Bombyx mori: one gene and its partners. The main gene of each other region encodes a partner of the protein of the gene in region 3 in a complex. Links are inferred from orthologs where the notes say so. Each region holds a gene or a part of one and is shown on either strand. Other genes may lie near its edges.

Region 1 (4,308 bases), on a different chromosome or scaffold from region 3:
GTAATGCGATCAATATTTTTGAAAAAATAGTTTGCTCTCTTACTCAGACTTTGTCCTGGTATGAACCAATTAGTCTGTATAGATCTATTAAGGATGCGTCAGTTCTGTTTGGTAATATTTTACTTTATAAATGAGAAATTAATCAAAACCATTTTCTTGCAGCACAATGTTCTGAGAAACATTAATGCATAGTGCAGAATTTATTTCCATTTATTCGAATCCAGCTATATTACATACTCAAATGAATGGTTTCACGTCTTTAGCAGTGGTAGTAATTGCCATTACCGATGTTCACAGCCAACCTGGTGTTAAGTGGTTACCGGAGCCCATAAACATCTACAACGTAAATGCGCCACCCACCTTGAGATATAAGTTCTAAAATCTCAGTATAGTTATAACGACTACCCCACCCTTCAAACCGAAACGCATTGCTGCTTCACGGTAGAAATAGGCGGAGTGGAACCTACCCATTAGGACTCACAAGAGGTCCCTACCACCAGTAATGTTAAGTACATATCTCATTAGACAAATTAATTGGTACATGTTAGGGCAGTTTGAACACCAGCACAGACTCATCGCTCGATACCAGTACTTCTTGTCCTTTAGGTCACGAAGACTTAAAATATATCTTTAAAGCATTATAAATCATTTGTTTATTTCAATGGCGTAGCCGCTATACGATCTCGGGAACCACCTGGTGTTCAACTATTAATAAACTTTCTGTTACGACGATCACAATGCGAGCAATATTTCTTATTTCACGAGAGCATTGAAAATAACGGCTATCTTATTCGATTTGATGTGTGTACGATGATGTTTTAAGTCAGCGGTCGGGGAACCGGGGCAAATTACCCCAAATAGGGTAAAATTAAATTTTGGAGGGTAAAAATGAAACTTTTGTGAGTAAAAAGTATATATTGAAGTGAATCTTCTTTAGAAACGTTAAATTTTTAGTTATTGTTTTCTTTTTAAAATTATCATGGGGGCTATAATATGAAAGATACTAAAAAGAAGCGATTACTTTCTTTTTGTTCTTCGCCATGGGGTAATATTAACTTACACAAAAATATTTTGGGGTAATAATAAAAAAGTTTCCCCGATCGCTGTTTTACGTGATGTGTGTACGTACGTTTAAGATCGTCCTTGATCTGCAAGGGTTCCTTGTCGAGTCGCGGACGCTTGCGCTGCGGCGCGCGGTAGGCTCGGTTGTCGCGTCGCCCGTCGCCCTCGTCCTCGGAGTCCGACAGCTCGCCGTCGTTAGCGATGCGCTTGTCCTGTTTTGCGTATCACATTCAAATCTTGTTACTACAAAATCTTGCTTGGTCGCAATGTCGCACACCACTTAGAGCAGACTGTAGAAATATCTTACAGTAAATTGGGGGGAATAGAGACTAAAGTTCGAATAGGGACAAATCTGGGATGTCACAATACTTTTGTTGAGTTGAGTTAGATTTAACTTTGTTGAACTGAAAATTACTTTTATTTAGTTTTTTTAGAATATTAAATAGTTTAATTTAGTCATCATAGTTTTTTAACTCATTAAAGATATTAAAAATTAATTACCTAAAGTTAGGTACCTACCTAACAGCTTAATAGTGCCAGCCCTATCGAAAAACTGTATTGTCCCCATACGTAATATGATTCACCCCAAAGCCAAGGTGAATGGGGTCAAGCTAGTTTTTTCAGATTTTGTGTATATTTTGTTATGAACTATGTATAATAACTCATCACAAATTTAAGCCTCCGGAACCATTTTAATCTCAATTTTATTGGTATTAACCCTAAGAAAAACCATTGAAAACTTGTGCTGGATTTGGAAAGGGTCCCGATTCCCCCAATCTACGGTACTGTTACAAATGCAGCACGCGGCAACGAGATCTATCTCTTAACCACGAAAAGCACTCACAAATAGTGGAAACAAAAATAACGAAAACATATTGTATCGTGCGAGGAACGTTTAGTGAATTGTAAAGCTCATTCGAACTCGATACTGATATTGGATTTAAGAACCGAATTGAAACCAACGAAAATAAATACAGTAAAAAGTTACAAGGGATTCAAAGGGAATTTTGCAAAATAATATTAATGAAAAAGAGTGAATACTTGTGCATATTAGATACTAGTGAGTTTGGAATAACATTCTGCAAATTTTTTTGAGATTTTAACTATCTGTAATTTTGATATTTAACTGAATAAATGTGTTATGGGTTTATTCTTGTTCAATATTTTATCCTCAAAGCCATGTATAACAAAACTAATTAGTTCACCCAAATAAATAATTAATATTTTTACTAAATATTTAAACGCATATTTAAAATTGGGCTTACTGGAAAACACTGTGTGATTAAATCCACTTTTAAATCATACCTTATCACTCTGTGGTAATCTCTCATCTTTGTCTATTTTATCTTCATCATCTGACTCATCATTGACAGCATCTTCAGGTATGGCTTGCACCTAGAGGAATAAAGAATTTTAGTGATGTTTTAAAAAGTAAACAACGTAAAAAAATATGCCTACAAAAAAAATTACAAAATACAAAACTACTTTATTTTCAAAAGCGAGTTAAAATAATACAATGATTGGGGTCTCCTTTTAAGCGTGCAAGCCTGTACTAAGAGACCCCGCTTACGAATCTTGCTTATTATTTGATTGATTATTATTATTGGACAAGAAAAACTTAGGTAACAACTGAAAAAGTACTAGAGAGATAGATGTATCTATTCCGAACATCCTACCACATGGCGTTTGCAGCAGCGGCGAAATATCGGAAACACGTTAAAACTAACAATCGTAATCAGAACTTTATCTAGTCATGTAGTAATTTGGAAAACACTTACTTGTACTCCTGGCGCATGTGGGAGCATTCTGAGATTCTCGAACAGTCTATTTTTTATCTTTTCCAGATATTCGGGTGTGTTTTGATTGGACATGTTACTTGGTGATATGTGTAGTTTGAAATCGGGCCCAAAGTACTCAAAGTAGTCATTATATGGTAGTTCATTGGCTATTTCCACACCAAGTGCAACAGATGTCTCGTAAGTCCAACAGCGAGATACATTACGTATGGTATATCTGTGAAATTTATTACACATGAAGCAATGAAAAGATGGTTAAAGAAAATAGTCTAGTTGTTGTGAAAAAATTAAGAGATTACATTATTTTGACCTAGTAATTTAAATATCTTAAGTAGTAAAGATAATGATTCAGTTTCTATCTAAAAGTGAAACATAGTCTTATATTTAAAACAACTTACCCGCCTCCGCCGACTAGTAAGAATGGAAGTCCAAACCTCTTGACAAGTTCTACACAGCGTCCATGACCTCGAACAGTCAAGTTGAAACAACCCAATCTGTCACCTTGTATAATAAAAATAGGTATTTTAGTTACAGTAATTAACTAAATTTTTATTATTTAGTTATTAATTGGTATGAGTGATTTTACGACATTCAGAATCAATTCAATTTCATAAAAAATTAGATTAAGCAAATAGCTTGGACAAATAAAAAGTGACACAAGAGTTATAAAGTTAGAGTTATTATAGTTACCTGTCAGAGAATCAGCACCACACTGTAGTACTACAGCACTTGGTTGGAATGTCTCCATAACTTTAGATATAATGGGAACAAAGATAGACTCATATGACTCATCATCCATTCCATCACGAAGGGGTATATTTACAGCATAGTATTTGCCTTTACCAGCACCAATGTCCCGCAAATCACCTGTAATATTATGATAATCAATTATTGCCATATATAAAATCTTTATAGGAAAACCCCAAGATGAGATGAGATATCTTCGAGATAATTTAATTTTTTTCTCCCAGTAGCAGTTTTTAAATGAGTCATATTACTCTTTTGTTAGATCAGAAAAATGTACAATCATTGTAAAATTGTGTACACACCTTTTAGATGTAGAGTGTACAGTCAGCGCTGTATGTACAAGGTAACAAATGCAGTGCTGCAATTACTTATCTTTCTCAGTTTCATGTGATAAAAAGGTACAAATATCTTTGTGCTAATCATTCAATATTACTCAAATAAACTTTAATGTTTTGAACAAGTTTAAATAGAAATAAGTAATGTAATCACCTGTTCCAGGAAAATATTCTCCATATTTATGAAAGGAAACGGTCATTACTCTGTCCGTGGTGTAGAAAGCTTCTTCAACACCATCACCATGATGCACATCTATGTCAATATATAGTACTCTTTGATGGTATTTCAGCAACTCCAATATGCCAAGAACAATGTCATTAACATAACAGAAACCTGACGCTTCAGACTTCTTTGCATGATGGAGGCC
Region 2 (4,988 bases), on a different chromosome or scaffold from region 3:
TGGCAATTTACGAAAAATCCTGCAAATCACAACAAATCTTTAAACTTGAAAGAATAAATAAATAATAAAAATAACAAGAACTTTTCTCACTACACTACATCCTGCCATAGAAGACCTCTTTAAGCACCTTAGTGGTGAAACTTTTGACCATAACTGAGGCTCTACTCTCTCACAGGTATTGTGAAAATCTTACAGATAAATAAAAATCCAGTGGTGGACATGACTTCAGACTAGTTCAGACTTCCGAATGAACACTGAATATAACTTCATAAAGTAGAATTTAGGGAATGAGCCAAACAGGACCATGAAAGATAACAAATATACTTAGGAAGGCATAATAAATGAATCAGTATTAATATAATATGAATATATTTATAATTTTTAAACACCTGTGAAGGCCTATTTAAGTAAAAAAAATATTTTCAATTTTAATTCAATTTTATGCTTACCGCTTATCAGCAAGATCTTAAGATTTTTTATGTAAATAACCACTTCATAATTTACATATTCATACAGTATGATAACATCAGCTAATTATCAATAATAACCGTTACTTTGGACTTTGTTTTGGAATAAACAAGTTATGAATCCAATTTCTTTGTGGTAGGCATTTACTTGTATTAGTAGTAATATCCTATAGTAGCCTATCCTTTTTCTGCAATCGTTTTGAAGAGCAAGAAAGAGATTATTTTAATATAATTCAACATCAGGAATAAAGTAGCAGCTTTCACATTGCGTTTATTTTGAGGTGAAAGCTACCACCCGAGGTTTATCAACTACACTATCAATTTTATTATTAAAACAAATTTTACTATTGTTTTAAATTTCTATCCTGTGCTTTGGTAAAAAATATGGAAAATATTCTACACATGAAATATAAAAAAATAATTATTTAATATATAAAATTGTTGTCATAATAAAAGTAATTTGTTTTTTGTTGAATTACATACTAGCAGTTATGAAATGAGATTAATATGCTAAGTCAGTTCAGCTGGTTAAGTTGACTTTTGTTTCAATGAATGAATTGAATTGAATTCAGTTTGCCTATAAAACATTGTTTTAAACTGTATTCATCTTTATTTTTTTATTCAATTATTATAAATAAACAAAATTTATTATTACCGTACAGTGAAAATATAAGTTTTAGTAGTTTCTGACGGTTCTTCTTTTTTACCTTACTTTTGTACAAATTATAGTTTAAGTTTAGAAAAATAAATCAATATTATTTACAAACTATAAATAAATGAAAAGTCTAAAATCAAAAACCCGAATTTCATGTAGCACTATCATGTTAGCAATATAAAATTTTACTGTTGGGTTTTATTATGGTGACTTGTGTAACAACAAATATTGCTTGAGAGTTTTCTAAAGTCTAAAGGTCTTATTGTGATAATTGCTGTAAAAATTTAAAACAACGAAATAGATATTAAATCTCCTAATAAACATTGTGTGAATTCTAAACGGAGTTCATTACTAAGAACCAATTTCAACAAACTCTGGTTGAACTTGATTTAAAAACAATTACCTCGAACTTCAAAGTTCAAACACTTAAAACTATAATATGACTATGATTAAGAGAGTTTATGTTCAGACACGCGACACACTCGACTCGAGTACTATTTTATCTTTATCTATTATTCTCACTATCAGACTTACTGAAGAATACACGATAGTCAGGAGTGTAAGGTGATCCTCTTTCTTCTACGATGTACATCCTTACTTGAGTTTTTAGTGTGGCAGTCGAATTAATTGAACAAGTTACACGTGTCGGTTCTTTAACAGCGCACAATCGTCTTGCTATCGACCGGCAAACCGGAACAGCTGCGGCACAAACGCAACGTGAAAGTGACATTTTAGTCCACTACGGGTTACCAAGGTAAGCTGTAAAAAGAATACGAAATTTGTTACGTAATTTTCGGCAGTGTTAAATTCATTTTAGTAGTTTACAGGACTGTCAAAGTTGTTAAAAGTATCTTTGTGTGGACACACGTATGATTCAGATAAACGTAATCTTAAAAAAACTATAAGCTAGATGTGAAATTTAATATTTTAAAACTAATGAAATTGAAGACGAGAGAAGTTTCAACCAAATATCCTAATGTTAAATTTAGTTTTTACTTAAACTTTTTGAAGTTCATTATTTTTATTCAAAACACCAAACTTGTGCTTTATATGTTCGTGGCAGTATTGCGAGATTTTAATTTTCTTTGTAATTTATATTGCAAATTTTGTGAAGGGTTCTGTTAAAGAGTTTGATAATTCTTTCTTCCCTTTTCTATTAGTGCATCAAATGAATGTAAATGAAAATTATCCCTCATATAAATCTGGTACAATTGATATTTTCAATTTTAACTTGCCCGCGCCATTTTTGTCACAAATACTAGGATCAGACATTTATAGAAACAAAACTTATAGAACAAGCAACAAATATAAGTCCTTAACTATTCGACAATTTTCTGGACTGTGGATCCTTGAATAACGGTCCCTCCCTCCCTTTAAATGCAATGGACCGTGTCCTTATAGGCATTCTTTAATAATCCATAGAAATATAGGATAAAAATTACTAGCTAACGCCATAAACGAATGATATGATAGTGAATGTTTTTAAACATTTCTTTAGTTTATTTTTTTATAGCTTAGATGGGTGGATCAACTCATAGCCCACCTGGTGTTAAGTGGTTACTGGAGTCCATAGATATCTACAACATAAATGCGCCACCCACTTTGAGATATAAGTTCTAAGGTCTCACTACAGTTACAAAGGCTACCTCGCCCTTCAAACCGAAAAGCATTATTGCTTCAATTATAGACGCTTCTTACTTTCCACACAATTTCTGTTATAAACAAACTTTAAGCAAACACGGTGACATGTGTAAAGCATAGGATCGTAATTAAAAGAAATTTGAATAATACTTTTTTCATAGCAACACATGTTAAAACGTCAATCCAAAGAAAAATGTCAACGATTCCAAAACGAGAAAGGCGAAGGTATTACAGTATACTGCCCAATTTTTATAAATGTGCCCAATGTTTTTAATAGTCAAAGTCATGTCTAATAATGAAAAATGTAACAAACTTGAATTAAATGATTGTTAATTATTAATTAATGTAAAATTGATAATGGAATGAAATTAAATATTGTTTCAATAATATGGTGGGAATTTAAGTTAATATTCTGTAAATTCTATCAAATACTTTTGTAGGAAAACGAAAAGTTGTCCAAAGTTTTTCTTTGTTTTCCTGCCTCTACATTTTCACAGATGTTAAAGCGGTTATGAAGACATCATTATAACAAATTTAAATCAGAAGAAATACTAAGCTAACGAAACGAAACAAAACTAAATATGTATACTAATTAACGAACTTTCACAAAAACATAACCTCTCGCGTTTTTGCCTAGTCTTCAAACGTGTTTCACTTTCATATACAACATTTAGTAGATACTAAACATAGTTTACTAAATCCAGAGAAAATTACCACTGGTTTCATTTTCACAGCTGTAGCAAAAGAATAGGGAATATCAAATTTTCATGGTTGCTCAAGTATGAGTTACCTAACTTAGGTTAGCGCCATCTATATAAATTATACAGAACTCAGTTCATTTTTACAATAAACTACAGGACCTACTCAACTAAATAAAGATAAGTATTAAAGCATAATTCTTGGTGCCCACGCATCATAATAATATTATTATGTACCATGAAACGTAAGGTCGTAGTTTGAATTTTTATCGAAATTCAATTGCGATAAAGTAAATAAATTTGTTAAAAAATGATAGCTGGCTCCAATTACCTATTATAGACTGTTCTTTATAATAATTTGTCTTGGTGGTAATAAAATGTGTCTTGGTGTTCGTTTTAAATGCAACGTTATGAACTCGACCCCAACACTTGGTCCTAATTTAATATTGAAACACTAGATGGCGTTATTTTAAAATAAAACTTATTTTGTCTTCAAATCTCGTTTTTACATAGTATTTTCATTTTATTTGTTTCGTCGGTTCGAATACCTACTTTACTGTTTTAGTAGTCACGGACGACACGATGATATTCGTTACGATTATTGTGTTACGGTCTATAATTCTTTAAAAAATATTTCTTAACTTCTACGTTTCACACAGATATAACTAATAGTATCTTGAGTTTTATAATATTGCCCTTCTAGGCAGACGAGTATACGGCTCAACTGAGGATAAGTGGTTATCGTCGCTCGTCAACGTCAACAATGCCAGCGGCCAGGGCCCCGAAATTGTGATACTTTAAGACAAATATTTTTTGTATGGAAACTAGCGACATCTTGTAGCAGATGCCCCTAAGCTTATATGTATATTGTTAAAGTTAAGGCATTTAATTATTGTGTGACTAAACACAGAAAATAAAAAGTTAATACATCATTATTTGTTATAGACAAATTGATTAAATTTTATCAAATTGTGGTTTCTGAAAATTTACAAAATCCTTCATTAGAAATAAAATATACTAGAAACTAATCGAAGCGAAGTCATCCAGTGGCCGACGCCCGTAAACATTTTTGTTGAATGCTTGAGAAAAGGAAATATACTAGAAACTAATCGAAGCGAAGCCATCTAGTGGCCGACGCCTGTAAACATTTTTGTTGAATGCTGAGTTTCTTATCTCTAATTTATGTGTATTATCTACACCAGCGGCAAAGCCAAGCCAAGTCTCTATACGGCTTTTGAAATTCATGTATTCAAACATTTCAGATTCATAACTAAATAACGAAACAGAATATTTACTCAATTAATTTTATTCATTGTAATATAAAGTCCGATTATAGTAATACTCGATCTATTCGTTGTGTAAATAAAATATTAACCCAGTACTTTTCGAGCATTATCAAGCCAATGGGGCCAACTTTCGATTTCTGATTGCAGTACAGCTCCAGGACTTAGCGTGTTTATCAACTGCTGGTGACCAACGACGTGGTAGTCTTCAGTCAATAAGTTATTTTCAACTCCACAGGCTAAA
Region 3 (3,793 bases):
TATGTTGATGAAATAGATTGACTTAGGACTGTCACGCGCAGACACCAATTGCCCAAAATATTAGAACAATTGCTAATGTTAAAGTTATATTTAGCCTATGTACCTATTTGTATGCTATGTAACGATTCACTTTATAGATATAATGAGAAAAGATTTTACTTCGTAATTTTTCGGAAAAGTTTTATTTAAGTTTTACCTGTACTTCATATCGGAAAATAGCAAATTCAAAAACAGCAACAACTCAAGAGTATTTTGACAAAGTTCAACAGCGAATTTCAAACGCAACTAGACCAACAATAAGAATATTTTGAACCAGGAGGAAGAATACAGAAATAATAAAAATACCAACACAAACAAAATTAAGATGGGTAGACCATGCATGAAAATCTATCTAGATCTTGATGATTTTGATTATGCAGTGATACGACGAATGGTTTATAGCTTTCATCTCATTTATAAACAAGTCCCTACAATAAAAGCACTAAAGCCCAAATAAATAGAAACGATGAATTTCAAAGAATGTGATTTTACACTACTGGGTTTTTTATTGAAGAAAATTGCTAATAATAGGAAAATGCTGATGGAAAAGATGACGTTAGACTTAAAAGAGTAAAGTACGTAGACTTAATAAGGAAGTATAGATCTGAAGGCAGATATTGTGTATAATACTGACGAAACTTATGTCCACACATCCCGAACATAACAATTATTACTTAAAAATATCGGGAATTCATTTCGTATAATACCCTAGTAAATATCCTGTTTTAAGTAATAATTGTTATGGTTGCAGCATCTCTATATTATACAATGTCATTTTGACATTTGAGACTAAACAATAAAGTTCCTTATTAATGGATATGAAAATGTCACTCATTTAATACGATCATTCATTGACAGTTCGGGTGTCATCGTATTCCGATAAAGATCAAGAGTTTTCCCGAAGGAAAATAGTTTCTCACTACATCTATACTTGTATGTTTAATATACTGTTTACTGTCAAATAGTTTGAAAAGTATGAAAAACGGGACAACTTTTTGCATTTAAATATTGAAAATATAAAATTTTGTGGTAATTTCAATTAGAAGTAAAAAATGCTGTTTGTAATATTTCGAAAAAACTCAGATAATTAGCTAGAATAGCAGATCATTAGTTAGTTAAATTTCATAATGATATTTACAAAGCATTTTAATAAATGTCATTTTTTCCAACAAGATTTTAGTGTTTTGTATAACGTTTACATGATAAAAATTCTATAGAACTAAGAACAGTTCCGAAAACTTGTACCCCATTATTGTTCGGTTGTAGCAGAGTTATCTCACAGATTAACGATTAAAAAGTGAATGTTAAACAATGTTGTTATTTCACACTCTCCACAGAGCACATGAGTCGTACAGACAGGACGACTAGCCGTGGTTGACGTTGACGGCCGACTCTAACTCCGACGCCGGCGTCTCCGGCTCCTCGTCGTTGTAGATGTTCTCAGCCATCTGCCACACCTGTACAGATACCGCACCGAATCAATGTACAACAAATACCAAATATATATTTTTTTTCTACCTATTCTAAGAAGCTACCACCAAGTCTGAACCGCGACTGAAAAGATCCGGCGAGAAACTCAGTGAGTCGCAAGCGACGGGTTCGACAAGAACGATGACCGGTGCTTGGGGTACCTAAAAGCACTGTTAGAAGGATCCGAGATGATGTGCCGAAATATTTATCAAATAGCCTAGATTTGTAGTTTTTTTTTTTTTTTTTATGGCATATATATGTGGACGAGCTCTACAAAGTAAATGCGTCACCCACTTTAAGATACAAGTTCTAAGGTCTCAGTATAGTTACAACGGCTGTCCCACCCTTCAAACCGAAACGCATTACTGCTTCACGGCAGAAATAGGCAGGGTGGTGGTGCCTACCCACGTGTACTCACAAGAAGTTCTAACACCAATAAATAATTATGTGCTAGGGAGAAATTATATTTTAGCAAAGCAATTATATTTTATGCATTAAGATCAACTATAATATTAATGTTTTCTGACAGCTTTCTCCCAAAAGGTGCCTATCTAAGCTAAAAACATTCAACCTATAATTTTAGCATACCTGCATAATGTTATCCTCAGAGACGGAACAGATGACCCATGGTTCATTAGGGTTCCATGAGAAGTCAGATATCTTAGCGGTGTGTCCTCCATGTATGAACAATAATTCTGGGGGTCCATCTTCTGCATCTTCAGCTGTCTGTTCCTCGCCAATCTTTGACAAGTCCCATACATGGAGTCTAAAAAAACAAGTAATGAAGTAACTTTCATAATAATTATTGTCTCGTACAGCAATCAGCAAACCCAGTTCTTGAGTATTGTGCATTTTCCCAAATTTAAAGCGTAAAAATTAGATGTACATGTTTACGATTTTTAAAATCAGCCCAAAAAGTGGCTGTAAGCCCACAAGAAGTCTGAGCTTTTATATTTACTTTGCAACTTCAATTCCATATCTGTTTTTTTTATGGGTGTTGATTTTATTTTACCTACCGTTTAATACTATTATTTTGAGAGTTCTTGTCTGTACACAAGATGTAACAAAAAGTTTGAAAATTCAATTATCTGTAATTTTACCTTCGGTCGGTACCACTGCTCGCGAGAATAGTTTCGTTGTGTGGCGACCATTGTACTTGGAATATTTCGTCTTTGTGCGACTCGAACGAGTGTAGCTTTAATTTCAAATTGCGTAGATCCCAAAGCGCAACCTAGACGGAAATTATATTTATAGTTATAGTAGTTAACCTATTATTAAGGATAGGCTATTTATTATTTAGTTTATTATGATATTAAAACTGTAGTTTCATTTTTCAGTGTATCATGAGCTGATTGAATTCAAAGCTTGTGAACACAAGTTTCGTTAAATTACAAAAAATTGATATATAAATATTACAATTAAATAATAAGCAAAACGCTATGGAAGTTTTGACTTGTTAGATGTGTATATTTGAATTAAAATTAGTAACATTACCGTTTTATCCGCACTGCCAGTAGCAAGAATGAACTCTGAATAGGGATTGAAACTGAGGCAGTTAACTTCAGCGGTGTGTGCGTCCACTGTGTGAGATGGTTTCGATGTATTATTACATCTGTAATTACAACATAATTGTGCTCTATTTTACTAATTATTACTACCATATATGCATACCTCATTATTACACTTAAACGAAATGTGTCATTATATCATAAAAAAATAATTAAAGGTAATTATTAACAAGTAATGAAGGTCAATACCAAATACAAGTTATCTGCAGAAATATGTGAAAACAACCTCCTGTTTGTGTTATCATGCCATGATAGGAAAAGCACTTTCATATTCAAACTAATGATTTTATTATCATGATTGTCTTAAATAGGTCTCTTAGTTAATAAGTATTGTACAATTCACAATTACATAATCAGTATGTCTTGATCTTGTCTCATTTATAATGTTTTATATTTACAATTGTAACTTTTCAAATGGTAGGCTGTGGCTGGGCTCTGCCCCACGCGTTGCCGACGTTCGTGAGCGACAGTAACCACTCACCATCAGGTGGGCCGTATGCTCGTCTGCCTACAAGGGGCAATAAAAAAGAACCTCAAAAAGTTAGTTGTTGGTGTTACCTGGTGTCCCATATCATCAGTTTCTGGTCGTCAGCCACGGATCCGAAGAGCGACTCGTGTAGCAAGTGCCACGCGACGTCCTCGACGACGGCCGTGTGGCCGGTGAACACGGACTTCGCTTCGATGACCCGCCCCTCCTTTGGCGTCGCGTTGATGTC
Region 4 (3,765 bases), about 6.6 Mb from region 3:
GACTCTACTCGTTGCTAACGCTCGCGCTGGCCTGTAACAGGTTATATTACGCGCGTGCGTTCGAGTGCCACGCATTCACTCTCGCTCTATCTCTTTCTATTTCATGGTAGCGTTAAACGTTTAACGCAACCTTGTTGGAAGTCACTTTAGAAGTTTCACTTCAAACATTAGTAGGGTGTTAAATATTCCTTGAAATGGTTGCTAGCGTGCCTCGCCTATTGAATACTGACTTGGGCTGCCCCAGCAGGGCCGGGCGGAAGGTCGAGTCGCTGTCCTGCGTGCGGAGGCGCATGTCGCGGCGCCGCTCCACCAACTCCTGCACGTTGCGACACCCCACGCACTTACACATCGCCGTACACGCTATCTTCGCCTGCATACACACCACATAAATGAGGTCGTCATTATATGTTAGAATTGTATAATTTCTAAACGCATCTTTATGTTAATACCAACTGACAGCTGTCACTCGTCTAATATGTGTCAACGTCATTCGTGTGCTCGCCCCTTTTTCTTCTAGCGCCGTCAATGAGTACTGACACAAAAAGTGTATCTCCGTTAAAATAAAAACTATCCATGAAAATCTGCATCTTTATTATAAGAAACCCAGACGATCACTCCAACATTATAATATGCAACAATAACATATTATTATATTAAATTAAACAATTTTACGGTAGGAGTGCCTCTCGTTGTCACAGCAAGACTGAAGTATACCAACTTTAAAACGCTAAATGAACAGACTGACTACATATCAGAATCAGTGGTTTAAATTATGATACCACTGTCTTTTTTTAATCTTTTTTAAACTCGCAGTTTCACATTCATTTTAATTTTACTATCACATTTATTTATTTTAGGAAAATAATTGAAAAAAATCTGATTCATATAAATGATTATTGCAACGAGTTAATTACTATGTAATTTGATAATTAATTTTTAGTTTACCTCGTAACATTCACAATAATTCTTGAGGCATCCACTTCGTTTACAGTTGCAGCCCTTGTTATGCCGCCTTATGATGTCCGGCCCGCCGATTTTTGCTTTCCCGATTTTCGGCCTGTGAAACTTGCTTTAAATATTTCATTTAATAAAAAACAAACAGTAAATTAAGCTGTAACAATTTTGGTGACTACTTTTTTTTATTGCTGACTTGCTGACCCGGCAGACTTCGTAGTGCCTCAATCGATAAATAAAAGACCTATACTTTTGTATAAAACAAAGTTAGAACAAACAAAAGGAATCCGTCCGATGGGGGGACATCAAAGGAAAAACAAAATTGTTATTTTTATTTAATTTCGAGCATTTTCATATTTATTTTAAGTCTTTTTTAAACCTTTTCTGGACTTCCACAAATCATTCAAGACCAAAATTAGCCAAATCGGTCAACCGTTCTCAAGTTTTGGCGAGACTAACGAACAGCAATTTATTTTTATATATATAGATGTGTATAGACGAGCTCACGGCTCACCTGACGTTAAGTGGTCACCGAAGCCCATAGACATACGCACGTAAATGCGTGAGTTCTAAGGTCTCCGTTTTTGCAGCACAACGGCTGCCCCACCCTTCAAACCGAAACTTATTACTGCTTCACGGCAGAAATAGGCAAGGTGATGGTACCTACCCGTGGGGACTCACAAGACGGCTTACCACCAGAACACTTTAAATTATTAGTAACAATAAAATTTTACTGCTGGTAAAAAAATATTAATGATATTTACAAAAAAAAACTTACCTAAACGCATTAGGATTCCTCTCTAAGCACGCCCTGATGGCTTTCTGCCTTAACGCTTCATTTTCTAAATTATTATGACAATTATTGCAGTTGCATTGATTGCAAAACTCCCCGTTCGCGAAACAGTCGCAGTACAACTTGAGGCACTGAGACTTTGTACAATTACACGCCTTCCTTGGCCGAAGACCTAGTTCCGTGGCCCCCACGTCTACAATGAACGTTAAGAGAATTAATTATTTTCCAATTTGTTACTGGATCGCATGCATACATAGACAGACATGTCGTTAAGCAATTTTTTGTTTGCTCAATCTCTAATATATGTATTGTTGGATGTTTTTGATGAACTTTTTTGGATATTTTTATTTGCGGGTAGATTGCCGCTGCCTATAAATGTTCGAAAAGGTTCGTGGCGCTCCGTTCTATTTTATTGTTAGATTACTTCCTTTAATTTAAGCTAAATTGTCATTGTTTTGTACTTAGAAAGTAGGATCTGATAAGTCTGTCTACTTTTGGATCACTACTGGATACTTGTAGGACAGTGTTATTCATAAAGCGTTGGAATGTTTGTGGCGCATTCCGCAAACCAAATGTCATTTTAGGAAATTCAAAAAGACCGAAAGGCGTTATTATGGCAGTCTTTTCAATATCTTCAGGAGCAACATCAATACAATGAAATGCTCTATTGATATCTAATTTTGAAAATATCTTTTTATCAGCCAAAATATAAGTAAAATCATGCAGTCGAGGAATAGGGTATCTGTCAGGTTTTGTAATAGCGTTCAGTTGACGATAATCACCACATGGTCTTAAGTCTCCATTTTTCTTGGGGACAATATGTAACGGGCTAGCCCAAGCACTTTTAGAAGGCCGACAAATACCCAATTCCTGCATGATCCGAAATTCCTCCTTAATTATTTTATATCTCTCAGGTGCCAGTGGTCGAGCACGAGCATGCACCGGTGGACCAGTAGTTTCAATATAATGCAAAACGTTATGAGAACTTACTTCCTTAAATGACGCTGGTTTCGTAATGTCGGGGTACAGCGCTAACAAATCACGATATGGATGACTCACATCAACAGTATGCAATGAAGGTTGATTGCTAACAACAATACAAGCTAATAAATTCAGATCTGTTACCTTATCGATAAGCTTACGTTCACCCATATCAACCAAAAGATTGTTAGAAGTTAAAAAGTCCGCCCCTAATATAGCCTGTTTAACATCTGCAAGCACGAAGTTCCATCGGAAAGCGCGACGTAGCTTCAAATCTAGCACTAACGTTTTTTCACCAAATGTTGCAATTTCAGTTCCATTGGCTGCATATAACTTATAGTTAGGATTTTTGATAAATTTACTTATTTTAGGCACCGGTAAAACTGAAATATTAGCACCTGTGTCCACCAAAAAATTTAGTCCACTATTGTAGTCCATCACACACAAACGGCGGCATCCTAAAATGGTACTAGCTTCCGCCCGCGACCGTACCACGCCTAGTTTTCCGAACTTGGTTTCCATGCACATGGTTGGACGCATTTCTGAGCATTCTGACGGAACTTGTAATGGTAGTAACATAACCAGTTGGGGTTCTGTGGGGTACGGCGTCTCGATGAAGATCGTGAGCCACTTCTATCACGGTTACGATCAAAGTAGTTTTGTCTGGATCGTGACTGCTCCATGTTAGTCATTCTGACGCTTAATTTTGCTATTTCCGCTAAAATTAAAGACGTGTCGCTTGTTGATGGTCGTTCCATATTCGAGGTTTGTTGATTAACGACCTCAGAGATGTGGTTAACTCGCGTGGCCTCCGCAACATTATCCGCAATCATGGCGAGGTTGTCTAAATCTTTTGTTTCAGTGACTGTAAGGATTGCCCTCAATGTTGTAGGTAAGTGACCTTGCCATAACACTCGCAGGGTGTCGTCCGGTACTTTATCTCTGGCTAACTCTCTCATGCGGCGCAATAGCTGAGAAGGTTTTTGATCTCCTAGTTCCATCTCTCCTATGAGTCTTTCAATTTGTCGACTTTTGGA

The links.
Region 1: chromatin assembly factor 1 p55 subunit (region 3) and histone deacetylase HDAC1 share a complex: the UniProt entries of both Drosophila melanogaster proteins name them as parts of the DREAM complex. The link is inferred for Bombyx mori from reciprocal best matches to the Drosophila melanogaster genes Caf1-55 and HDAC1.
Region 2: chromatin assembly factor 1 p55 subunit (region 3) and uncharacterized protein LOC101741235 share a complex: the UniProt entries of both Drosophila melanogaster proteins name them as parts of the NURF complex. The link is inferred for Bombyx mori from reciprocal best matches to the Drosophila melanogaster genes Caf1-55 and Nurf-38.
Region 4: chromatin assembly factor 1 p55 subunit (region 3) and protein lin-54 homolog share a complex: the UniProt entries of both Drosophila melanogaster proteins name them as parts of the DREAM complex. The link is inferred for Bombyx mori from reciprocal best matches to the Drosophila melanogaster genes Caf1-55 and mip120.

Annotation. Positions count from the first base shown.
Region 1 is NC_085117.1:13,607,199-13,611,506, forward strand, and holds part of histone deacetylase HDAC1, read right to left. Parts: coding exon 4,095-4,308; intron 3,726-4,094; coding exon 3,549-3,725; intron 3,360-3,548; coding exon 3,257-3,359; intron 3,076-3,256; coding exon 2,841-3,075; intron 2,458-2,840; coding exon 2,368-2,457; intron 1,275-2,367; coding exon 1,130-1,274; intron 1-1,129. UniProt on the Drosophila melanogaster protein: Catalyzes the deacetylation of lysine residues on the N-terminal part of the core histones (H2A, H2B, H3 and H4).
Region 2 is NC_085115.1:3,629,753-3,634,740, forward strand, and holds the start of uncharacterized protein LOC101741235, read right to left. Parts: upstream 3,418-4,988; 5' UTR 3,382-3,417; intron 2,018-3,381; exon of another isoform or gene 1,882-2,017; 5' UTR 1,853-1,881; coding exon 1,657-1,852; intron 1-1,656. UniProt on the Drosophila melanogaster protein: Component of NURF (nucleosome remodeling factor), a complex which catalyzes ATP-dependent nucleosome sliding and facilitates transcription of chromatin.
Region 3 is NC_085109.1:4,082,580-4,086,372, reverse strand, and holds part of chromatin assembly factor 1 p55 subunit, read right to left. Parts: coding exon 3,636-3,793; intron 3,122-3,635; coding exon 3,004-3,121; intron 2,741-3,003; coding exon 2,610-2,740; intron 2,276-2,609; coding exon 2,098-2,275; intron 1,497-2,097; coding exon 1,404-1,496; 3' UTR 1-1,403. UniProt on the Drosophila melanogaster protein: Core histone-binding subunit that may target chromatin assembly factors, chromatin remodeling factors and histone deacetylases to their histone substrates in a manner that is regulated by nucleosomal DNA.
Region 4 is NC_085109.1:10,695,130-10,698,894, forward strand, and holds part of protein lin-54 homolog, read right to left. Parts: intron 1,941-3,765; coding exon 1,733-1,940; intron 1,070-1,732; coding exon 946-1,069; intron 371-945; coding exon 231-370; intron 1-230. UniProt on the Drosophila melanogaster protein: Component of the DREAM complex, a multiprotein complex that can both act as a transcription activator or repressor depending on the context. In follicle cells, the complex plays a central role in the site-specific DNA replication at the chorion loci.